Sus scrofa: one gene and its partner. The protein of the gene in region 1 purifies or fractionates together with the protein of each later gene. This does not show direct contact. Links are inferred from orthologs where the notes say so. Each region holds a gene or a part of one and is shown on either strand. Other genes may lie near its edges.

What was found.
Region 2: the proteins of DAPK1 (region 1) and IFI30 purify together in Homo sapiens (affinity purification with mass spectrometry; 3 studies listed by BioGRID and IntAct, counting the BioPlex papers as one, with this or other methods). This does not show direct contact. The link is inferred for Sus scrofa from reciprocal best matches to the Homo sapiens genes DAPK1 and IFI30.

What each region holds. Positions count from the first base shown.
Region 1 is NC_010452.4:27,949,262-27,960,467, reverse strand, and holds the start of DAPK1 (death-associated protein kinase 1), read left to right. Parts: upstream 1-5,770; 5' UTR 5,771-5,867; intron 5,868-5,889; exon of another isoform or gene 5,890-6,263; coding exon of another isoform or gene 6,264-6,809; exon of another isoform or gene 6,810-6,830; intron 6,831-6,831; exon of another isoform or gene 6,832-7,078; intron 7,079-7,161; 5' UTR 7,162-7,275; coding exon 7,276-7,337; intron 7,338-11,206. Other genes in the region: basic proline-rich protein-like, read right to left, coding at 3,259-3,387, 6,264-6,809. UniProt on the Homo sapiens protein: Calcium/calmodulin-dependent serine/threonine kinase involved in multiple cellular signaling pathways that trigger cell survival, apoptosis, and autophagy.
Region 2 is NC_010444.4:59,625,454-59,636,735, reverse strand, and holds IFI30 (gamma-interferon-inducible-lysosomal thiol reductase precursor), read left to right. Parts: upstream 1-3,021; 5' UTR 3,022-3,087; coding exon 3,088-3,207; intron 3,208-3,561; exon of another isoform or gene 3,562-3,961; intron 3,962-4,198; coding exon 4,199-4,381; intron 4,382-4,474; coding exon 4,475-4,549; intron 4,550-5,331; coding exon 5,332-5,424; intron 5,425-6,209; coding exon 6,210-6,362; intron 6,363-6,541; coding exon 6,542-6,595; intron 6,596-6,679; coding exon 6,680-6,742; 3' UTR 6,743-6,974; downstream 6,975-11,282. UniProt on the Homo sapiens protein: Lysosomal thiol reductase that can reduce protein disulfide bonds. May facilitate the complete unfolding of proteins destined for lysosomal degradation. Plays an important role in antigen processing.

The DNA of each region.
Region 1 (11,206 bases):
GGGAACCTCCATATGCTGTGGGAACGGCCCCAGAAATGGCAAAAAGACAAAAAAAAAAAAAGTGCACCCCTATCAAGGAGGGCGCAAGGGTCCAGCCAGATGTGAGAAATAAAACAAGGTAACTGGTCAAAGGAAAACAAAGACTTGGAAGAACTGTCCCATATAAGTGATTTAAACCACCTCTTTGGTGCGCTCCTTATTCAGGGGGACGCCCACACCCACGCTCCCCCTTTGGGTGTGTATTACTGTCTTGCTTCTCCCTTAAACCAACTACTTCTCTGTGTGGTCTCCCACGTGTTGTACTGTGTCCATAATAATAAACCTTGTAGGTGTTCCCATCCTGGCTCAGTGGAAACGAATCTGACTAGCATCCACAAGGACCCAGGTTCAATCCCTGACTTTCCTCAGTGGGTTAAGGATCTGAAGGTGCCGTGACCTGTGGCGTCGATCTGGCGTTGCTGTGGCTGTGTCTGTGGCCGGCAGCTGAGCTCCAATTGGACCCCTAGCCTGGGAACCTCCATATGCCGAGGGTGCAACCCTAAAAAGACAAAAACTGAAAGATAATAAAAAAAGCAACCTTTGGACATGCTTTTACAGTCTTGGCCTCCTTGAAACATTCTTGCTTTGAACAGGGGCAAGAATCGGGGCAATTCTGCTTTTAGTCTCTAAATGTCTAGTGGCTAGAATTCCAGGTTTTTGCCCAGGCTGCCCAAGTTCAATTCCTGAACAGAGAATTCAGATCTCCCTTCAAGTTATCACTCACTGCTATCCCTCCAAAGTCCTAGACAGACTAGGAGAGAGAGCAGGTACCAACCCCGGGCCAAGAAAGTCACACAGAAGAGTTCACCTGGTGAGAAGCAGTGTGACCTTTGTTTGATAGTGACCAAGCAAACTTGTAGTGAGAAAAGTAGGACAAAAACTACCCTGGCTTCATTCTCCTTCCTTCTCCTTGACCTCAGGCCAGGTTGCCCATTGGCCAAACTGGCCTGCAGCCAGAGGACAAGGGAGTGAGTTAAATAATCTTAGCGCTCAGGAGTTCCCTTCATGGCTCAGTGGTTAACGAACCCAACTAGGATCCATGAGGATGTGGGTTCAATCCTGGCCTCACACAGTGGGTAAAGGATTCTGTGTTGCTGTGAGCTGTGGTGTAAATCAAAGATGTGGCTTGGATCTGGCGTTGCTGTGGCTGTGGTGTAGGCTGGTGGTTACAGCTCCGATTGGACCCCTAGTGTGGGAACTTCTATATGCTGTGGGTTTGGCCCTAAAAATCAAAATAATAATAATAATAATAATAATAATCTTACAGCTCAGTCTGTTGACCTGTAAGGGTGGAGAAAGGTAGATAATACATCTAGAGAAATAAATGGATTATATCTACACCACCACATTCTAATGGAATTGTCTCTTTGCTCTTTAGTCTCCCTCACTGGACTAAGTTGCTTCAGGACAGAAAATGTTTTACTTATCTTTGCATCCTTAGTATCTATACTAGACAATAAATATATATCAGAGAATAAATGCTTATTGATTGATTCAGAGAATATGGTAAATTGGACACTACTTGGAGGATTGTACTTTCTAACCTTGCCATATGCTTCCTGGAAGCCAGGGGCAAATGGAGAAGAGAGTGAGCTCTGTAATTTTCATTGTCTAATTTAATCAGGAGTGATACATTCTCTTAGCACTCAGTGCTAAGAGGAATTTCAGTCATGTGACTGTCTACTTAAGAGGCATGCAACTGTATAATGGGCACTCTCTTCAATAGGGAAACCACAGGTACAGAAACATTCTTCATGAGGCCATTTAAAAATCATTAGCCCTTGGGAGTTCCCTGGTGGTTCAGTGGGTTAAGGACCTGGCATTGTTACTGCTATGGCTCAGATTGCTGCTGCAGTGCAGGTTTGATCCGTGGCCGGAAACTTCTGCATGCCATGGACGTAGGCAAAAACAAGCAAATAAACCAAACCAAACCAACAAACGAAAAACAAATGTCTTTAAAAGTATATATCTATTAGCCCTTGATAAAAGCCAAAGGCAAGTTATTAAAAAATAACCCATAGAGTCCCTGTTGTGGCTCTGCAGTAACGAATCCAACTAGTAGCCATGAGGTTTGATCCCTGCCCTTGTTCAGTGGGTTAAGGATCTGGTGTTGACGTGAGTTGTGGTATAGGTCATGAGCTATGGTGTAGGTCACAGACACAGCTTGGATCCTGTGTTGCTGTGGCTGTGACATGGGCCAGCAGCTGCAGCTCCGATTAATCTCTAGCCTGGAGACTTACACATGCCACGGATACAGCCCTAAAAAGACAAAACAAAAACAAAAACAAAACAAAACAAAACAAAAAACAACAAAAACCCAAAGGTAAACTGAGCTAGTGTGTTTCACTTTGATTTATCTTAGAACATCTTGCCCAAGAAATGGTTAAGCCTCAGACTTCAAACTTGACCCCCCGAAATAAATCTCCAATACAGTCCTCTATGGATTCTCTCTTCTCTCTTCAGAGAATGAAAAATATCAATGGAGAAACTCAATGCACCAAGGTAACCATGGGTCTATGAAAAGGCAGAAGCCTGGGTCCCTGAATGACTATGACTATTACAGAGCCCTTTTTCTGGTCCCTGCAAACATCTGTGCTGAGAGCAAGAAATAAACCATGAATGTGTCAAACTTCCGAGATCTGTGGCATTTTATAGCAACAGTTATTTTACCCTGATTAATGCAGATTTAAAATAATGTCCTAAATTCTCTACTTGAGTCTGTTTTAAATGTTATTACCACGATTATCATAAGCCATAGTCCATAACATCATCAAGTTCTTTTCATGGAAGTCCCTTACAGCTTGAATCTCATAATTTCAGGATTAATAGTTTAGTTATCCTCCATGGAAGAGATGTCTTTCAAAGTTCTTCTTGCTTGGAACATGACAGAAAATGTAATATCAACATTCTGGTGTCTCTTACAATGTACAAGGTCCTGTTTCATGCATTATCTCTATTGAATCTCCCAGCAACTCTGAGGAATACACCGGGTCTATTATCTTCCTCATTTGGCAGGTGGTGGAACTGAGACGAAGAAGGTGTAGTATAAAGTGGAAAAAAACAACTGATTTACAGAGTTGTTTGAAGATTAAGCAAGAGATAATTTCATCTGCCTGGCATGTGGTACACATTGAGTTAGGTTTTCTTATGAGTTATCTATTGCCTCTAATAAACCACCCCAAGATAGTGACTTAAAACAGTACCAATCATTTATGCTACTCACAGAACTTGGGCTGTGAAGACACGAATAGCTGGGGGTGGGGGTGGGGCTGGAACAGCTGGCTTCCTTGGGCTTCTCTCTGTGGTCTCTCCACATGGCAGCCCCAGGGTAACCATGGCAGCTGAAGGCTTCCAGAGTGAGTGGAGAGAGCAAGAGCAAGAGAGTGAGCAAGAGAGAGTTTTAAGCAGGCAGAAGCTCTAACACCTTATGGCCAAACCTTAGAAGGATGTTACACCGCATCACTTGTACAGTTTCTTAGAATCAAGCCACTCATGCCAACTCGTATTCATGGGGAGAATTAGACTCTGCATCTTCATTGAATGTCTGGGCACATTTCCCTCTCTAAAATGCTTGCCTAAATTAGGGCAGATGTGAAACTCAGAGGAAAGGGACCCAGCCAGGGTCATTCACAGCTAGGGTTGAATGGTTCCACCCATACTGGATCCAATTTTGTGACTCCCAAGCCCTGCCTGCACTTTTTTGCTACTGTAGAAGCTCTCCTGTGATCAGCATGTAGAAAAGACATGCTAGGGAGTTCCCGTCGTAGCTCAGTGGTTAACGAATCAACTAGGAACCATGAGGTTGTAGGTTTGATCCCTGGCCTTGCTCAGTGGGTTAAGGATCTCGCGTTGCTGTGGCTCTGGTGTAGGCCAGCGGCTACAGCTCCAATTAGACCCCTGGCCTGTGAACCTCCATATGCTGCGGGAGCAGCCCAAGAAATGGCAAAAAGACCAAAAAAAAAAAAAAAAAAAAAACATGCTAGTCCCCAAACGGAGCCAGTCCTTCTCATTGTCTTGGAAAACACACATTTATTTCACAGGAAAAATATTACCCTTAAAGCAGTCATCCATCAGCATTTTCGAATTTTCCAAGAATCTGTTTCCCTCCAACAGATGTATTCAGTTGCATTTCCCCCAGATGAATCATTTTTTTTTGTTATTATTTTTGACTGCATTTCTCACCTCTTCAGATCCTTTTGTATCAACTCTCAAACGAACCACTTATCAATTTCCCAATTTGGAATCTTGATTCCATCATCATGAACGCATGCCCTTCCTTTGGGCCATTGAATGAACTGTTCTTTAAAGAGGAAGGTCTGACATAAAGCATAAGAGCTGATGGGCATTCCCCGCCCCCTTCAAAAATTTTTGTTGACCTAAAGAGAGTGTAAACCATCTCATTTTAGAAAATCTGGAAATTTGAACCATGACATGGCTCTGAAATCTCAGAGGGTTTACAAAGTTTTAGTAATTCTCAGTTCTCTGAAGGAGCTTTTCAGTTTTAGTGATTCCCCAGCAGTTCCTATGGGAAATATCCTTTCTGTTCCCCCTACTCCAGGGCTTGGTGGAGGCATGGGGTAAGAAGTAGAGTGTATGGAAAGGGGAAAAAAAAAAAAAAAGATAAGAAGGAGTTCCCGTTGTGGCTCCGCAGTTAGCGAACTGGACTAGCATCCATGAGGACATGAGTTCAATCCCTGGCCTCGCTCAGTAGGTTAAGGATCTGGCATTGCCCTGAGCTGTGGTGTAGGTTGAAGGCATGGCTTGGATCCTGCATTGCTGTGGCTCTGGTGGCTATGGTTCTGATTGGACCCCTAGCCTGGGAACCTCCATATGCCATGGGTTCGGCCCTAAATAGACAAAAAAAAAAAAAAAAAAAAGAAGAAGCAGAGAGTATGGATAAGGGTCTCCAGTAGACATGGGGTCTCTGTGTAGAGCAGCACAGCCCACTGAAATAGAACTGCAAACCACACAGGTACTCATATTTTCTAGTATCTGTATTTTAAAAAGGAAAAGGTGAAATTAATTTTGATAATAGCTTTTGTTTAACCCAACACATCCCAAATATTATCATTTGAACATGCATTTAATATAAAAAATATTCAAGTCTTGGAATCCCATGTGTATTTCACCCTTCTTGGACTCTTCATTTGGGACTAACCACATGTCAAGTCATCTGTACTCAATACCATATTGGACAGCACGCATAGACCTTTCATTTCTGCTGCTTCCTTGGGCCTCTGAGACCTAAAACCTTTCTTCTCTGGTTTCATACCTTCTTTTTTATTTTTATTTTTTTCATTTTTTGGCCACCCTGTACATCTGAAGTTCCCAGGCCAGGAGTCAGATCCGAGCCATAGACGTGGCCTTAACTGCAGCCGCTGCAACACTGGATCCTTAACCCGCTGTACCGGCCTATGGGGGAATCGAACCTGCGTTCTTCCCAAGATGCCGCTGATCCAGTTGTGCCAAGGCGGGAACTCCTCATACCTTCTTATAGTTCAAATCCCAGCTCAAAAGCCCTGTCCAGGAGGGGAACGCCACCTAATGTGGCCCACTCCCGCTCTGTCATTCTCTATCTCATTATCCTTCAATTTTGTCTCCATAGAATGGATCTAAAGTGATCTCGTTTATTTGCTTACATATTTATTGTCTGGCTTCGCCACCATAATGCAAGTGTCATGAGGGCAGGGATTTTTTTAAACCTATTACGCTCCCTGCGATTTCCTGGTGCCGAGCACAGTGCCTGGCCCACCCTAGGCGCTCAGGACACATTTGCAGGACATTTCCCTGGAATCCCGCCAAAGGAGGCAGGTCTCGGCGTGTCACAGGTGGGGCGCCCACGGTGCGCGCGGCCGCGATGGCTGCGCTCCCCACGCGGGTGCGGGGTGAGTGGGTGTGTGCGGGGGTGTGCGCGGTAGAGCGCGCCAGCGAGCCCCGAGCGGGGAGGAGCAGCCAGCGCAGCACAGCACCCGCAGCAACGGCCGGGCCGGGCAGCTCGGAGGTGGGTGGGCCGTGTCGCCAGCCCGCCCGCGGGGTCCCCCATTGGCCGCCTGCCGGCCGCCCTCCGCCCGGAAGGCGGCGAGGAGCCGAGGGCTGCTCTGCAGCTGGAGCGGGAGAGCTCAGCCGAGCCGACGCCGGGCGGACGCGCGCGGGATCAGCGTCCTCACTTGCTGCCTCCCTGCGCTCCCGCCGCCGCCCCGCTCGCTCCCGGCGCTGGCGCCTACCGTTGGCCTCGGACAGCGCTCCGGAGGGACCCGGGCAGCTCCCGGGCGCCCGGGTGAGTGGCCGCGCGCGGCTCTCCGGCTCCTCCCGGGCCCCGCCGCCTGCTTTTGCTTTCGCGGCCGCGGCGCGGCGGGGTTTGCCCCGGCAGCCGCCTGGACCACCGGGAAGGCCGAGGCGGGGTAAACTTGACTGCGGGGAGAAGTGGGATCACAGTCGGGAGGGGCCCCCGGCCTCGTGGGGCGGGTGGAAACAGGTGGCGCGGGCCGGGCGCTTTGTGTCGAGGCGCGGGGACCGGGAGCGGGCGGCCGCGCCTCCCTCGGCCGCTCCCTTCCCTCCCTTGCTCCCCCGGGCGGCCGCAAGCCGGGTCGGCCGGGTAACGGAGCGGGAGTCGCCAGGAATGTGCCTCTGGGGACTGCGTGACTCGAGGGAGGAGAGAAGGTGGCCGGGGAGGTGCGGGAGCCGAGAGGTGGCGCGGGGGCTGCACCGCCGCTGCAGGCAGGAGAGGGATGCTTCCAGCGAGCAGTGTTCCGCCCGGGTGAGGGCTTCATTCTTCCGCGGCGCCCCTGGAGGTGGGGAGCTGGGTGGGCGTGTGTGTGCAGAGAAAGAGGAGGCGGGGAGGCCAGCCACTTCCGGAGCCGATTTTGATCCTAGCCCAGCGCCTTGCTTTCGGGGAAGCGGACCTTGGGGTGCGGTTGTGCTCGGCCCCACGCGTGCGCGGGCGATGCGGGGCTGGGGGCGTCCCTGGCTTGGGTTTAACAAAGAGTGCTCCTCTCCACCCGGAGGGGAGGGGCAGCTCCGGAGAGGTGGTCTTCAGCAAGTGGGTCTTAGCCCTGGGGAGAGGTACTTCCTTTGGGAGTTGTCATTTTGTTATTCTTATTACCTTTTTTTTTTTTTTTAAAGGACGGGACTCTCATGCATGAGGGGCCCACGGAGGCGCAGGAGCAGGAGCGGTGGTGATGGTTTGGGAAGCGGAGCTGAAGTGCGCTGGGCTTTGGTGAGGCGTGACAGTTTATCATGACGGTGTTCAGGCAGGAAAACGTGGACGATTACTACGACACCGGCGAGGAACTTGGCAGGTACTGGGGGTGCCGGAAGCGCACGCTTCTGGGTTGTGCGAATGCATGTTATTGCAAGCAGTGGGCGGTAAACAAATGCAGTTTGAAATCAGGCGTCTCCCTTGCCCTTCCAGGAGACACGCAAATTATAGAGAAAAGAGTTACTAACCCAGTGACGACCAGGGACCAGAAATAAACGACCTAATCCTGGGGGCTGGGGGGTGGAGGGGCGATTTCAGTGTTAGATTATGACACAGGGTGTATGGATCAAGACTCCTGGACAAGAGATTTAATTGTCTGCAGTAACTCTTGTCAGCCGTGGTCCTTCTGCCAGAATAAGGCAGAAGCTGAGATATAATTGCGGCTGGAGTTCGCTCTTATGTGTGATTTAGACGAAGTACAAACTGATTAATAGGCTTATTTTTAAAAGCTTAAGACTTGCCCTTTTTCTGAGTTTTCAAGAGTGATATGCACAAGTATAGGTAGGTCACACATGGAGACTTGTCAGATGTTGAATTGGATTTTGAAACTTCCTTGAACCATGAATTTAATTACGTGGTTGGTCTCAGTGGTTGCTCTGGTTTCATTCGCAACGTTAAATTTTTAACAAATCCCTGATTGAGAGTCTAATATGGCTATCTGGATTCAGAGCATACTTCCAGTGCTGTGGGAGGGAGCTGTGATTCTGAATGTGAAGCCTTTCAGTTCCAGGTGAACAAAGAAGGATTTCATTGGGGGCCTCCAAGGGCTGGATGGGTTTCCCTTTCACCAGGGATTTGACAGGGTAGGTAGTGCCCTGGTCTAACTTTAGCAGAAAAGCCAGATTCCACACCCAAATTTAAATTCAACATTGGGAATTTGACTGCAGCGTATTTATGTTGTGAGTCAAGTAGATAAAAGGATCTTTAAGCAAACAAAAAAGTATGTGTTTATTTCCATGTGTATCAAAATACATCTTTTTTCATAGACCCCTGATGTCCCCTGATTCAGTGCTTCCTTTTTTTCCCATGAAAAGGAAATTCAGAAACACCCACACCCTAGATTACCTAACAAGAATTGTGAAAGTTGATTTTCACTAAAATGATTTTTCAAGTGATAGTTCAGAAAGGAAGTGACTTTTTAAAAGTTGCTGTATCAGAATATTTCTGTCCACATTTAGTATGGACCTGAAGTCATTGGGGGCTCATGCCTAAGAGGAGCTAACTGTATGTTGGGGATTTACTGAGTGACTAAATGAAGGGAGCTCTCAAAAGTCATATTTTGGTTGTACAACTATAAATATAATAAAATTCATTGAATTATTTTTAAAAAGTCATGTTTCCTGGATATGTTTAAGGTTATGGTTTAAGGGCATGTGGTTGAAATACTTTGTTTACCTAGAATGAAGTCACTTTATTCCTGCGTGGTTTTCCTTTGGTAGCAAGGGAAAAAGGTGAAAAAAATATATTTTAATTCTGTTTGTGTAGTGTGGCCTGATTATATAAATTCTCTCCTAAAGAAGGATGATTCAAAGTAGGTGAGATGATTGCTTTATAGATTAAATATGTTGACCTTATTTTCGTGAAAATCTTTTGGTAGAATTATGTGTTATGAGAAGAGAAAAAAAATGAGGCCTCCCTGTGGCTAGTGAGGGAGTTTGTGATCTTTATTTCGTGGGTGTGATGACAGGCCCTCTGCCTCTTCGATGACAAGTGGTTGGCTCATTTGTCACTAGTATTTTGCTTTGATTTTGGCTTGTTCTACGTTTCTGTGTATAATTTTGCCCCGACTGTGCAAGACTAATTGACAGATTGTTTATTGAATACTTTATTGTAGGTGACCTGTGAGTTTGAAAGAAGTGCTCTGAAAAACTGGGAGGTGGAGATTTTTAAAAATAAAGAATGCATGCTGTCTGTTTGATCTTTTGTTTAGAAATGCAGTAATGGGTGGGGTTTTTTTTTTTCCTCCTCAAGTCGTATGCATTTTATGTCTGCTGGGAATTACCTCCTTCCTGAAAACAAATCCTGACATGAGATAGACATAATAGGAAAGATGCTGCTCTCTGTGTCACTGAGACAAGATGGGATGTGGAGGCAGGAGCTTAGTGGCAGAAAACAGAAATTGGCAGATATTTAACACAAAAGTGAGGTTGTTCTAAGCAGTGAGTTATAAACTATTCAACATCTGGGATGTAAGACTTTCCCTATCAGAGTTCCTGTTATGGCTCAGTGGCAAAGGAATCTGACTAGTATCCATGAGGATGCAGGTTCCATCCCTGGCCTTGCTCAGTGGGTTAAGGATCTGGCCTTGCTGTGAGCTGTGGTGTAGGTCGCAGACGTGGCTCGGATCCGTGTTGCTCTGGCTGTGGTGTAGGTGGCTATGGCTCCCATTGGACCCCTAGTCTGGGAATCTCCACATGCCATGAATGCAGCCCTAAAAAGACCAAAACAAAAAAGAAGACTTTCCCTACCTATCTTTGGCGGCAATCTAAATAACAGCTACTCGCTTACCTTGTAAATGTACTGAGTCAAAGTCCGTAGCTACAGGAGGGGAAGGTGGGTTTTTCAACAGGTAGGAAATAGCATTATGATTGCTACTGCTGTTACTTTACTTTTAGAAAAACAGAGAGTATGTATGTACGGGGGTGAGAGTGTGTGTGTGCCTGCCTGTCTGTCTGTCTATCTGTCTGTCTATGTATATTAGTGTGTGTCCTGCCCAGGACTACTGTCAAAAGCTTTCTGTCAATCCTAAAGAACTTAAAAAGTATTATGATTATTTGCAGTAGTGATAGAGCAGACAGGTATTCTGGTCCAAAATTGACTCTACAACTGGCTGGCTCTATAACCTGTAAGTGAAGAAGTCACCTACCTTCTCTGACCCGCTGGATCTTCATCTATAAAATGAGAGGCCTGGTGCTTAGTTCATGGCTCTTGTGAATGTCCAGTCATCTAAGCCATGTAAAAGTATTTTATCAGCAGTCAAGAGTTAAACAAATATTGATATAATCGGTAGGACTGGCCAGGACATGTGAGTATTCCAGGCATGATAATAACTTGGTTTGCAACTCAATATTCTTTTAAGTGTCTGTTTACCAATTTGGGGCAGGGAGGTCCTGCTGGCTAAGGGTCATGGGGGAGAACTGTGCTGACAGCCTTGGCCCTTCTGCTCTGATTCCGAATAATGCAGCTCTGGCCTTGAACTTGCACACCCTCCAGGTGGCAACAAGTCCCTGCAGTGAATGGTCCTGTCACCTATAGAAGATTGCTGGGTGACCTGTGTGTGAGTCCAGGAGGCCCTTTGGTTCTCACCCTCTGTTCTAGGAGGTAGACTAAAGAACTAATGCTGTCACATGTCATGGTTTTGGGGAGGAGTTCTTATACCTTTGGATTTCTCCATGTGCTATTACACTGGGTCATTTTGATGTCCCAGGTGCCCTAGCATCTCTTATCAGTTGGCACTTGGGGCTGCTGAAGACTGGCTCATCCCGCCATTGGGCTCCAGTTACACTCTGGGCTGTGGTTGAGCCCAACTTGTGAGCTTTCTGGGCACTTTCTGAGCGCTGCTTTCCTCAAGGACTGGCCTGTCTTCCTCTTCTACTGTCTGACCTTATGTGATCTTAAGATCTGGCTCCCATCTCCTGAGTAACTCTTTCCACAACGATTTGTCCCTCTCAGAAACCAGACAAAGCTGGTTGCTGTCTAAAGCTCCACTGGTCATGGCCGCAGACTGCCCCCTCCATGCTCCATCGTTGCTTTGTGTTATTAACATTCTCGTATTGCTCCATTCAGCTGGCTTGAAACGTTCCTTCAGGGTGTGTGCTGTATAATTCTGGGCAAAAGTTTGATCGATGCCTGAATAAGCTCCTGCAGGCCGGCAGGCAGGTACTAGACTGAGACCAGAATGGGGATTTG
Region 2 (11,282 bases), on another chromosome or scaffold:
CTGACCTTCCACTGACCCCTCTCCACACCAGCCCAGATGCTCAGGCTGCCATGTCTCAGAAGACACTAAGCTGGGTCCTCAGGGTGCCTTTGACCTGGACTCATGTTCACCACCATTCCCCCTTCCCCAATGTCCCTGTCCCTCAGCCTTCTCCCACACCCAGGGCTGGGAGCCTTCTGTCCTGCCCCCTCCTCCACCCGACATGCCTGAGGCAGCCCTGGGGGGATGGAGGGATGAGGCTGCCTCTGCCTCATCTCTTGTGATTCGCTCTCACAAGGACAGGAGCTGCTTCCCTTGGCCTCAGAGCTCTGAACTCTCCCAAGCACTGACCCCACTGAGTGGCCAGTCAGGAGGCACCATAAATAACTCCAACCTGGACTCTGCCCACCCCGCCCCTTCACCCACCATGTGGGTGAACATGCAGTACAAAGCTTACCTTCTTAGTCCTGTAGCCCAGCCTGGGGACCAAAGAGAACAGTCAGCCCACACAGCCTTAAGCTGGTACCCGCACTCAACCGTGTTTCCTCCCTTCTCTGCTCCTCAGTTTCCTCTTAACCAGAGTTCCTGTTATGTCTCAGTGGGTTAAGAATACAACCTAGTGGATTTCCTGCTGCGGCGCAGCAGAAGTGAATCCAACTAGTATCCATGAGAATGCAGGCTCGATCCCTGATCTCGCTCAGTGGGTTAAAGATCTGGCATTGCCAGGAGCTGTGGTGTAGGTCGCAGATGTGGCTCAGAACCCACATGGCTCTGGCTGTGGCGTAGGCTGGCAGCTGTAGCTCTGATTCAACCCCTTAGCATGGGAACTTCCATATGCTGAGGGTGCAGCCCTAAAAAAGCAAAAAAAAAGGTCCACAACATAGTGTCCTTGAGGATGCAGGTTTGATCCCTGTCCTTGCTCAGTGGGTTAAGGATCTGGCATTGCCGCAGTTGCAGCATAGGTCTCAGATCCAGTATTGCCGTGGCTGTGGTGCAGGCCGGCAGCTGCAGCTCCGATTTGATCCTTAGCCTGGAAATTTCCGTATGCCACAGGTGCGGCTGTAAAAAATAAATAAATAAATAACAATGTTTAAAAAAAATTTTTCCTCTTACCAAGTTGGGTCAATAGTTGCTTACCCCCACCTCCAATGGCTATCTCTGAGGGTTCCATGATCAAATGTGTGAGGTTTATGAATTCCTGCTATAGGGCTGGGGCTTAATAACCACTGGGAAAATCGTAGCAATTCTGTTTATTGTTATTTTTTCTGTCCTGCCCAGTACAGCATGGAGCGCCCACTAGTTGCCCCAAGCGGGGTTACTTAGTCTTGCAGAAGCTTCTACAAAGGAAATGGGTTTTGTGAATGGCTCCAAAAGGTCAGATGGGGGATTGTCCAGCTATTGGGGACTTCAGGGGAACCCCAGCTTCCATGAATGTGGCCATGCAGGCTGGGGTTTCCCCAGAACTGGAAGGGACCAGGCTAGGGAGGCTGGGGGACTGGGCTGTTTTCTGGGCCAGGGATGGGTGTTTCCTCCCGTGCAATCCAGACCCTTGTCCCGTCAAGGCCCTACAAAGTCTGAATGTCTCAGTTACTTCCCTGACACTCCCAGCCTTCTCGCCTTTATCTGGACTGTTTTTTTTTTGTTTGTTTTTTTTTTAATCTTTTTGTCTTTTTGCCATTTCTGGGGCTGCACCCACGGCATATGGAAGTTCCCAGGCTAGGGGTCTAATCGGAGCTGTAGCTGCCGGCCTGCGCCAGAGCCACAGCAACACCAGATCCAAGCCAGGTCTGCGACCTACACCACAGCTCATGGCAACGCTGGATCCTTAACCCACTGAGCAAGGCCAGGGATCGAATCCGCAACCTCATGGTTCCTAGTTGGATTTGTTAACCACTGAGCCACGATGGGAACTCCTATCTGGGCCATTCTTTCCTCCCTCCCACACTGCTGTCCTGTCCACACCTTCCCAGGCTTACAAACCCAGATGTGCCACCTCTACCCGCAGCCTGGGGCAACTCTCCCTCTGGTAGCTTTATTTCCCAAACCTCACTTCTCCCATTTTACAGAAGGGGAAGTTGAGGCTCCACCACTTGAGGTGCCCAGCACAGTCCCAGGGCAAACCTGGCTCTGGCTGATTCCTGCCATCCTGGGTCTTCCACGGGCTGATCCCTCACCCCCACCCCATGTACACACTATAGGCTTTCAGTTATGACTGCTCCGACTCGGCTTCTCCTCCAGCAAGGGAGCTGGCTGAAAGGAGGGATGGCCTGCTCTCCCCAAGCCCTGGAGGATAGAAAGAAGAAATGCCAGATTTTTTTCTCTCCCACCCCCAAGCCAGGAGTGGGGGACCAAGAGAAGGGAGGTGCCCCTCCCTGCTCTGGCTTCTGCTTTCTGGCCCAGCTGTGGCCAAGCCTGAGTCAGCCTCACGGGACCACGCTGTTGGATCTGGAGCTTCAGGGCTGGGGAGCCTGAGAGGGGGAGGGGGAGAAAGTTGGGAAGAAGGGTCCTGGGCCAGGCTAGAGGGAGGGAACGGGGATGCGGCAGCCCCTGCCCACTCTCAGGCAGAGGATCGGCCACCCCCACCCACATCAGAGCACAGGGTGGGAAGGCAGGGTCTCTGGGCTAGGGAGGCGGGGCGGGGCTAGGTCAACCTGGCCGCCCCCAAGAGGGATCCCTGGGCCCAGAGTGGCCCTCCTAACTCTCGGTCTTGCTGTGTCTCTGTCTCTAAGCCCCCACCTCACCTCTGCTCAAGATGCTCAAGCCTCACACGGCTGGTCGGGGCTGATTGCGGGAAAGGGACGGGGGAGATCGAAGAGCAGCTCATGGTCCATGCGACTGGGGGCCCAGCACCTGGTGGGGGTGGGGGTAGGGTGGAGCTCAGGTGGAAAAGGTACACCCAGAGAGGGAGAGAGAGGAGAGAAGAAAGAGAGAAAGAGAAAGAAGGAAAGAGAGAGAGAAGTCGAGATGCTTAGAGACGCCGCCCGGGCCCCCGAGGGGCGTGGGCACCAGGGGGCGGGTTCGGCAGGGGGGCTGGGCCACCGCCGGCTTAAAGGCGGCTCTTTCCCGGGGCAGCTGCTTCTGCCGTCGTACGTTGGCCCCTCCGTCGTGATGGCCTCGTCGCCTCTCCTGCCGTTCCTGCCTCTGCTGCTGCTGCTGCTGCTGGAGGTCCCCGCGGCAGCGCCGGCGTCCCCGCTGCAGTCACTCCTCCAGGGGGCGGCCCCCTGCAAGGTAGGGACGGCTACTCGGCGGGAGGGACAGCGGGGACTGGCGCCCCAGTAGGGGGCCGGCGGCTCCTCCCCTCTCCCCAGACTTCGGCGGAGTCGACCGGGCTCGGGAAGGTGCTTCTCGGATCGGTACTGACCCCCTCAAAAAACACCCCGCCTCGCTGGTCACACTTTCCTTTCTCTTTCGCTTCCTTCTGAAATCTGAGTCGCTCAGCTATCCCCCACCCATCCCCCCGCAATTCCCCCACCCACCCCCCGCAATTCCCCCACCCCATCCCAGGGTGCATTGAGCACCTACTGTGTACCTCTGGAGCGGGAATCAGAATCTCTCTTTCAGCCCAGGGGAAGCCCGGATTACCTAAGCGCCCACCCGCATTCGTCAGGGGCTCCCGGGAGGAGCTCGCGTGTTTCTGGTGCGGAGGAAGCAGATGCCCCGGAGTCTGAGCGACTTGCTCACAGACGCGGGCGACCGCCACCCCTCAGCTGTAGCCGGAAGTCAGCACCTATTAGGCGCCGCCTCTGCAGTAGCCTTGGGAGGGGTTCAGTGAGCCCGCTGAGAGGAAGAATTTAAAAAGGAGTCAGCGCGGGTATAGACGCTCGCTCAGCTCCCGGCCAGGGCTCTGGGGATGAAGTGACAAATGAGCATGCTTTCGCGGTACGCACCGCTCAGAAGGCAGGATTGACGGCAGGGATCAGAAGTGAGCATGCCTTGAATTCTTACTGCTTGCAGTCCCCCCGCGTGGGGAGTTTCACCTAACCTGGAGGAAAGCAAGACTTGTGCATACATGAACTGCCTACTGTTTTCGAATCTTTTTCACATCCATTTTGCAGACAGACTGAGATTTAGGAAGATTTAGGGATGCTGTGAAGCCTTTAAGTCAGGATTCCATCTGGCAAGGTCTGGAAGGAGTGTATCACTTCCTGTTTGCAGCTCTTTTTCTGCAAGAGAACCAAGCAGGACTTCGTTTGATTTCACACCCCTTTCTCCCACGCAGGCCGGTGAGCCATGCCTGCAGAGACCCGTGGGGAAGTCTGACCCTCCACCTGTCAACGTGAACCTCTACTATGAGTCGCTGTGCAATGGCTGCCGGTACTTCCTAGTCCGAGAGCTCTTCCCCACGTGGCTGATGGTCTGGGAAATCCTCAATGTCACACTGGTACCCTATGGAAACGCCCAGGTGTGTGGGCACCAGGGAAACTGGGGGCACTCGGCCAGGGGAAGGGAATGCGGCTGGTGGGGGGCAGCCAGCATTTACCCCATTGCCTTTCAGGAACGAAATGTCAGCGGCAGGTGGGAATTTACGTGCCAGCACGGCGAGCAGGAGTGCAAGATGAACAAGGTGGAGGTGAGCAGCCCCAGAGTTCCCGAGTGGGGGGCATAGAGGCTGAGGAGTCTACTGGTGATAAGGAAGGTGAAATCAAGACTCAGAAGGGATTGCCTTATGTCCTAAGGATACCCTCTTTGATATCACTAAGAAGATAACCTCAATCAATATTGCCTATGCCTGTTCCTGCCCACTAATCTTGCCACCTTCCTTAATCCCACTAATAATAATCTCATCACCTTCCTTAATAAAAGTCATGTGGGCTAAAGCCTAGGTGCCTTTGTTCTACGGAACAGAGGAACAGAGTACCTCCTGGTCCCCCACTTTCTAAATGTAAAAAAAAAAAAAAAAAGAAAAAGAAGGGATTGCCACAAGCGCCATTCTTTTTCCTGTGTGCCTCCATTTAATCACTTCTTCATTCTCTATGTTGGTTTTGTCTGTTCATTTGTTTGTTGATTGGTCTTTTTAGGGCCGCACTCTTAGTAGCATATGGAAGTTCCCAGGCTAGGGGTCGAATCGGAGCTACAGCTGCCAGCCTACACCACAGCCACAGCAACGCCAGATCTGAGCCTCATCTGTGGGCTACACTGAAGCTCATGGCAATGCCGGATCCTTAGCCTACTGAGCGAGGCCAGGGATCCGACCATGTCCTCATGGACACTAGTCGGGCTTGTTAGCGCTGAGCCACAAGGGGAATTTCCCTGTCTCCACTTTATTTATGGACACCCATGATTAATCCCAGAGTGGTCTTGGGGTACTCAGGTCCCCCCCTCATGTCCTCCCCCTCCCATCCCCACTCCCAGGCCTGCCTTTTGGACAAGCTGGAGAAGAACATGGCCTTTCTGACCATTGTCTGCATAGAGGAACTGGATGACATGGAGAAAAATCTGGAACCAGTGAGCAATGCCCCTCCTTCCACCTGAGTTGGGGGACCCTGGCCTCCCTACATCCAGACAAACCCAGGTTCAAGTCCTGGCCCCCAACTGCCGCTCTCTGAGTAGCCCCAGGAAAACTGCCTCCCCTCTCAAAGTCTCAATCTCTGAATCAAGAGAACAAAGATCTTCCGGGGACGTGGGTAGGTCCGAGAGGGCTTCCTGGACCAGGTGCCTCTGAGCTGGGCTTGAATGAATAGGAATGTGGAGGGACCCAGATGATGATCCTTCTCTAGGGTATGGGGCCCCCCTACCTCCCTGGAGGATTATGAAAAAGAACTCCCAAAGGAGTGACTCATCTGCCCCGATTGCTTATTCATTCATCAAACATCTGGGCTGCCCAAGAGACCTGAGCCACCCTGAGACACCTCCAGCTCTACAGAGTCATAGTGTGGCTGGAGGAGTGCAAAGGAGGAAGGAACACTCAGGAGACTCAGGGGAAGGAGGAGGAAAAGTGTTCCTGACAGAGGGAACAACATGTATGGATGCTCTGAGGAAACCGAAACACTCTAGGGGTCTGGTCTGGTCTTATTGGAAACAGGAGCAGCCTGAGCCCCTGCTCTCAGGCATGTATTAAGCACCTGATGTTTATGGGCTTTGCTGTACCCCTGTGAGTCCAACTGTCCCCTGTGAGGAAACAGAAACGGCTTGGAGGGGCAGGCAGTGCTGGTTGGGAGTTCCTGTTGGGGAGATAAGAGGGAGGAACCTGAGGCAACGCTCCAACTGACCAGCTCCCCCTCTGCCCTCAGTGCCTGCAGATCTATGCTCCAAAAGTATCCCCAGACTCTATCATGGAGTGTGCAATGGGGGACCGTGGCATGCAGCTCTTACACATTAATGCCCAACTCACAGATGCTCTGAAGCCACCCCATGAATATGTGCCCTGGGTCGTCGTCAATGGGGTAAGAACTATTGCAGCCCTCAGGTCAGCCTCCAGGCAGGGACCTGGGTGATGGATGTGCCCAATGGTCTGGGAGCAGCCGTCCGGGGCCACACTTGGGACAATTTGCAGCCCCTTCTGGGCTGAGCATGGGTTGATTGGGGTGGGTGGGACTTGTGACCTCCTGTCATGCTTGTGCAGAAACCTATGACAGAGAAGGACCAGCTCTTACGCCTCGTCTGCCAGTTGTACGAGGTAAGCCGGACAGGGAACAGAGGGATCCAGCTGGTGGGGATAAGGTCTCCTTTCAGGACCCCAACTCATGGCTATCTTCTCCAGGGTGAGAAGCCGGATGTCTGCCAAATCTTGGCCAGCTCCCACAAGGAAGTCTGCTTCAAGTGACAGCTGGTGCCCTGAGAGAGAGCTAATACAGGAAGAGCAAGATCCCACCTGCCCTCATTTTCTGATCCCTGACTCTCAGCAGCCACTACTCATCATGCAGATGATGTCTACACATTCCACAAAGCCCAGACTCAAAATTCTGCCCCAAGGTCAAGAATCTTGCCCACTGAGAATGGTGCTACATTGAAACTTGTTTAATAAACACTTTGAGATGTTGTGATTCATTTGATAAGACGGAAAACCCCCTTCTTCCAGATCTGTGCAATCCTGGGGCCCCTGTGAAGCCACCTGTCCAGGGGATGCAGAGCCAGCCAGATATCCCTAGCCCCATTGGGGGGGGGGAATGGGCCAGAGGGGGAGGCACCAGAGCTAGAGGAGCCCAGAAGAGAGAAGGTTCTTCATAGGTATGGGGGCTGAGGTTTTGAAGGGTGACTAGAAGTTCATCCAGCAGAAAATGTATTTATCAATTCAACAAACATCCCTATCTCCCCCCTTTTTGCTGACCCCACACTGGGTACTATGGGTTGAGCCAGAGGATGTTAACTAGGGCCAGGCAAGGCCAGAGGATGGGGCACAGACCTTGTCTGGGGAGTTTGAAAGAATGGTGTTCCAGGAAAGGGGAAAAGTATGCAAAGGCCCAGACAGCAGCAAAGTCGGGAGCTAGAATGCCAGGCTGAGGCACCTGAGAACAACTGGGTGTGTGATAGGATAATTGTGAAAAAAAGGAAAAACCATGATTCTCACACTGATGACAAAAGAATACACAACAAATATTTTATTTAATCATGTTTAATGAACCTGGGCAGATGTTCAAAAGACAGAGATTTAGAGATTAGAAATATTGAAATAATTGTGCAAAACTGACTTGTTCACAGGGGCAGGGGACAGGCACATTCTTCTTTCCACCTAGCTTTATTGCGTTTTTCTAACTTTAATACAATTGACCCTTGAACAACATGGGTATGAACTACATAGATCTACTTCCATGTGGTTTTTTTTTTTTCTGCTAAATACATACTACAGTCTTACATGATCCCAGGTGGCTCAGCGGTTAACAAATCCAACGAGGAACAATGAGGTTCCAGGTTCGATCCCTGGCCTTGCTCAGTGGGTTAAGGATCCTGTGTTGCCATGAGCTGTGTTGTAGGTTACAGATGTGGCTCAGATCCTATGTTGCTATGGCTGTGGTGTAGGCCTGTGGCTACAGCTCCAGTTCAACCCCTAGCCTGGGAACCTCCATATGCAGTGGGTGCGGCCCTAGAGAAGACAAAAAAAAAAAAAAAAAAAAAAAAAGGCTATTTTCTTGGCAAATTCCAATTATACCAAAAAGTACTGTTTGTTGGTGTGTTTGTTTTTGTTTGTTTCGTTTTTGCTTTTAGGGCCGCGTCTGTGGCATATGGAAGTTCCCAGGTTAGGGGTTGAATTGGAGCTACAGCTGCCTGTCTACTCCAGAGCCACAGCAACATAGGATCTGAGTCATGTCTGCAACATACGCTGCAGCTCACAGCAGCACCAGATCCTTAACCCACCAAGCGTGGCCAAGGATCGAACCCTCATCCTCATGGATACTAGTCAGGTTCTTAACCCACTGAGTCACAATGGGAACTCCTACCAGACAGTACTGTTAACATTAGTCACCATGCTGTACATTAGATCCTCAGGACTTACTCATCTTACAGTGAAAGTCTGTGCCCTTTGACCAACATGTCCCCATCTCCCCCACTCCTCAGCCCCTAACAACAAAGTTCTTCTGTTTCTATGAGTTTGGCTATTTTATTTATTTTATTTATTTTGATGGCTGCACCCACAGCATATGAAAGTTCCTGGGCTAGGGGTCAAATTGGAGCTGCAGCTGCAGTCTACACCACAGCCACAGCCACACCCGATCTGAGCTGCATCTGTGAACTATGCTGCAGCTTAAGGCAACAATGGATCCTTAACCCACGGAGCGAGGCCAGGGATTGAACCAGCATCCTCACAGAGACAATGTCAGGTCCTTAACCCACTGAGCCACATGGGACTCTGAGCCGACTATTGCATTTTTGTTTTTTGCTTTTTAGGGCCACACACTTGGCATATGGAAATTCCCAGGCTAGGGGTCAAATAGGAGCTACAGCTGCCAGCCTATACCACAGCCACAGCCACGCCCGATCTGAGCCTCAACTTCGGCCTACACTGCAGCTCACAGCAATGCTGGATTCTTAACCCACTGAGCAAGGCCAGGGATCAAACCTGTGTCCTCATGGATACTAGTCGGGTTCATTACCACTGAGCCACAACAGGAAATTCCAGAGTTTGGCTATTTTAGAATCCACATATAAGAGAAACCATACTATATTTGCTAATTTCACTTTGTATAACACCCTCCAGGTTCATCTCTGTTGCCACAAATAGCAGGATTTTCTTCTCTTTTTTTCATGGCTGAATAGAAGTTGGGTTGTCCCTTTTGTTAAAATTAATCTCTAAGCAAGACCTTCACTGGCTGGTCCCATTAGACTTGCCCTGATTATTTACGCAGGTGCAGCAGGTGCCTCTTTGCTTTACGGGAAGCTTCCATAAGGAATCTCAGAGTGGACTTCTCAAAGTCTCTATCATTTACTAACTGGAGACGAGAACTCAAGTTTCACCTGCAGTACCCATGATACCCATGACCTTTTTTTTTTTTTTTTTTTTTTTGGCCATGCCCTCGGCATGCAGAAGTTCCCAGGCCAGGGATCAAACCCGAGCCACAGCAGTGACAACACCACTTCCTTCACCTGCTGAGCTCCAAGGCAACTCCCCAATTTCTCTCTTATCTGAAGTTCCCCTGCTATGGCAAGGATCTGGATTGACCTCTAAGGCAAGCCAGATTTCCCATAAGGCTTTTGTAAACACTAGCTCCCAATAGTCTGACTTGGTTTCTTTTTTCTTTTTCTTTCTTTCTTTCTTATTTTTTATTTTTTATTTTATTTTTTGTTTTTTAGGGCGGCACCTACAGCATATGAAAGTTCCCAGGCTAAAGGTTGAATCGGAGCTGTAGCTGCCGGCCTATGCCAGAGTCACAGTAATGCCAGATCCAAGCTGTATCTGCAACCTACACCACAGCTCATGGCAACACCAGGTCCTTAACCCACTGAGCAGGGCCAGGGATCGAACCCGCATCCTCATGGATCTTAGCTGGGTTCATTAACCCCTGAGCCGCGAAGGGAGCTCCCGTGACTTACTTTCTTGAAACTGGCTGGTGAGGAGTTCCCGCTGTGGTGCACTGGGATTGGCAGTGTCTTGGGACCTCTGGATGCAGGTTCAATCCCTGGCCCGGTACAGTGGGTTAAGGACCCGGCATTGCCACAGCTGCAGCTTAGGCCACGACTGTGGCTCAGAACTGATCCCTGGCCCAGGAACTCCATATGCCATGGGGTTGCCAAAAATGGGGGAATAAAAATGGAAATTTGGAGTTTCCATTGTGGCTCAGCAGTAGCGATTCCAACTAGTATCCATGAGGATGAGGGTTCAATCCCTGGTCCTGCTCAGTGGGTTAAGGATCTCGTGTTGCTATGAGCTCTGGGGTAGGTTGCACATGAGGCTCAGATCTGGCATTGCTGTGGCTGTGGTGTAGGCCGGCAGCTGCAGCTGATTCGACCCCTAGCCTGGAAACTACTATAGGCCAACTGTGCAGCCCTAAAAAAACAAGCAACAAAAAAACAAACGAAAGGTAGAGAAAGTGAAAAATGGTAATTTGCCAATAAAGAAGAGACACCTGGAAGACATCCCCTTAACACTGTGATCTGAGTTCGTGTCACCAGGGTAAGTCATGTGGTATCACACACCCAAGTGACACAAGGAGGACATCACCTTTGTGGGATTCTCCCCAAGATCCAGAACCCCAGTCTAATCACGAGAACAGCACCAGAGCCCAGAGAGAGGGACATCCTACAATGCACAACTGATCCTCTTAATAGCATCAAGGTCATGAAAAATAAGAGAAAACTAGAAGGCTTCACAGACCAGAGGAGCCTAAGGAGAGGGGCTGACTAGTGTGCTGGGAGCCTGGCCAAGTTCACATTTGAATGAGGAACTGGAATGATGACTAATAAGGCTGTACTGTCGTTGCCTAATATTGTACCTTCAGGAATCTGACAAATGGAAATGTATCACAGAGCTAACAAGAAAGTACAAGCTACTACTGAGAATTACAAAAAAGAAGCAGACTCACAAATGTAGAGAATAAACTAGTGGTTACTAGTGGGGAGACGAGGGAGGAGGGATGACATAGGAGTAGGGGATTAAGAGGTACAAACTATTAGCCGAGTTCCCATCGTGGTGCAGCAGAAACGAATCGGACAAGGAACCATGAGGTTGCGGGTTGAATCCCTGGCCTTGCTCAGTGGGTTAAAGATCCAGCATTGCCTCGAGCTGTGGTGTAGGTCAAAGACGCAGCTCGGATCCCAAGTTACTGTGGCTGTGATGTAGGCCAGAGGCTACAGCTCCTATTACACCCCTGGCTTGGGAACCTCCATATGCCACAGGTGCGGCCCTAAAGAAAAGAACAACAACAAAAAAA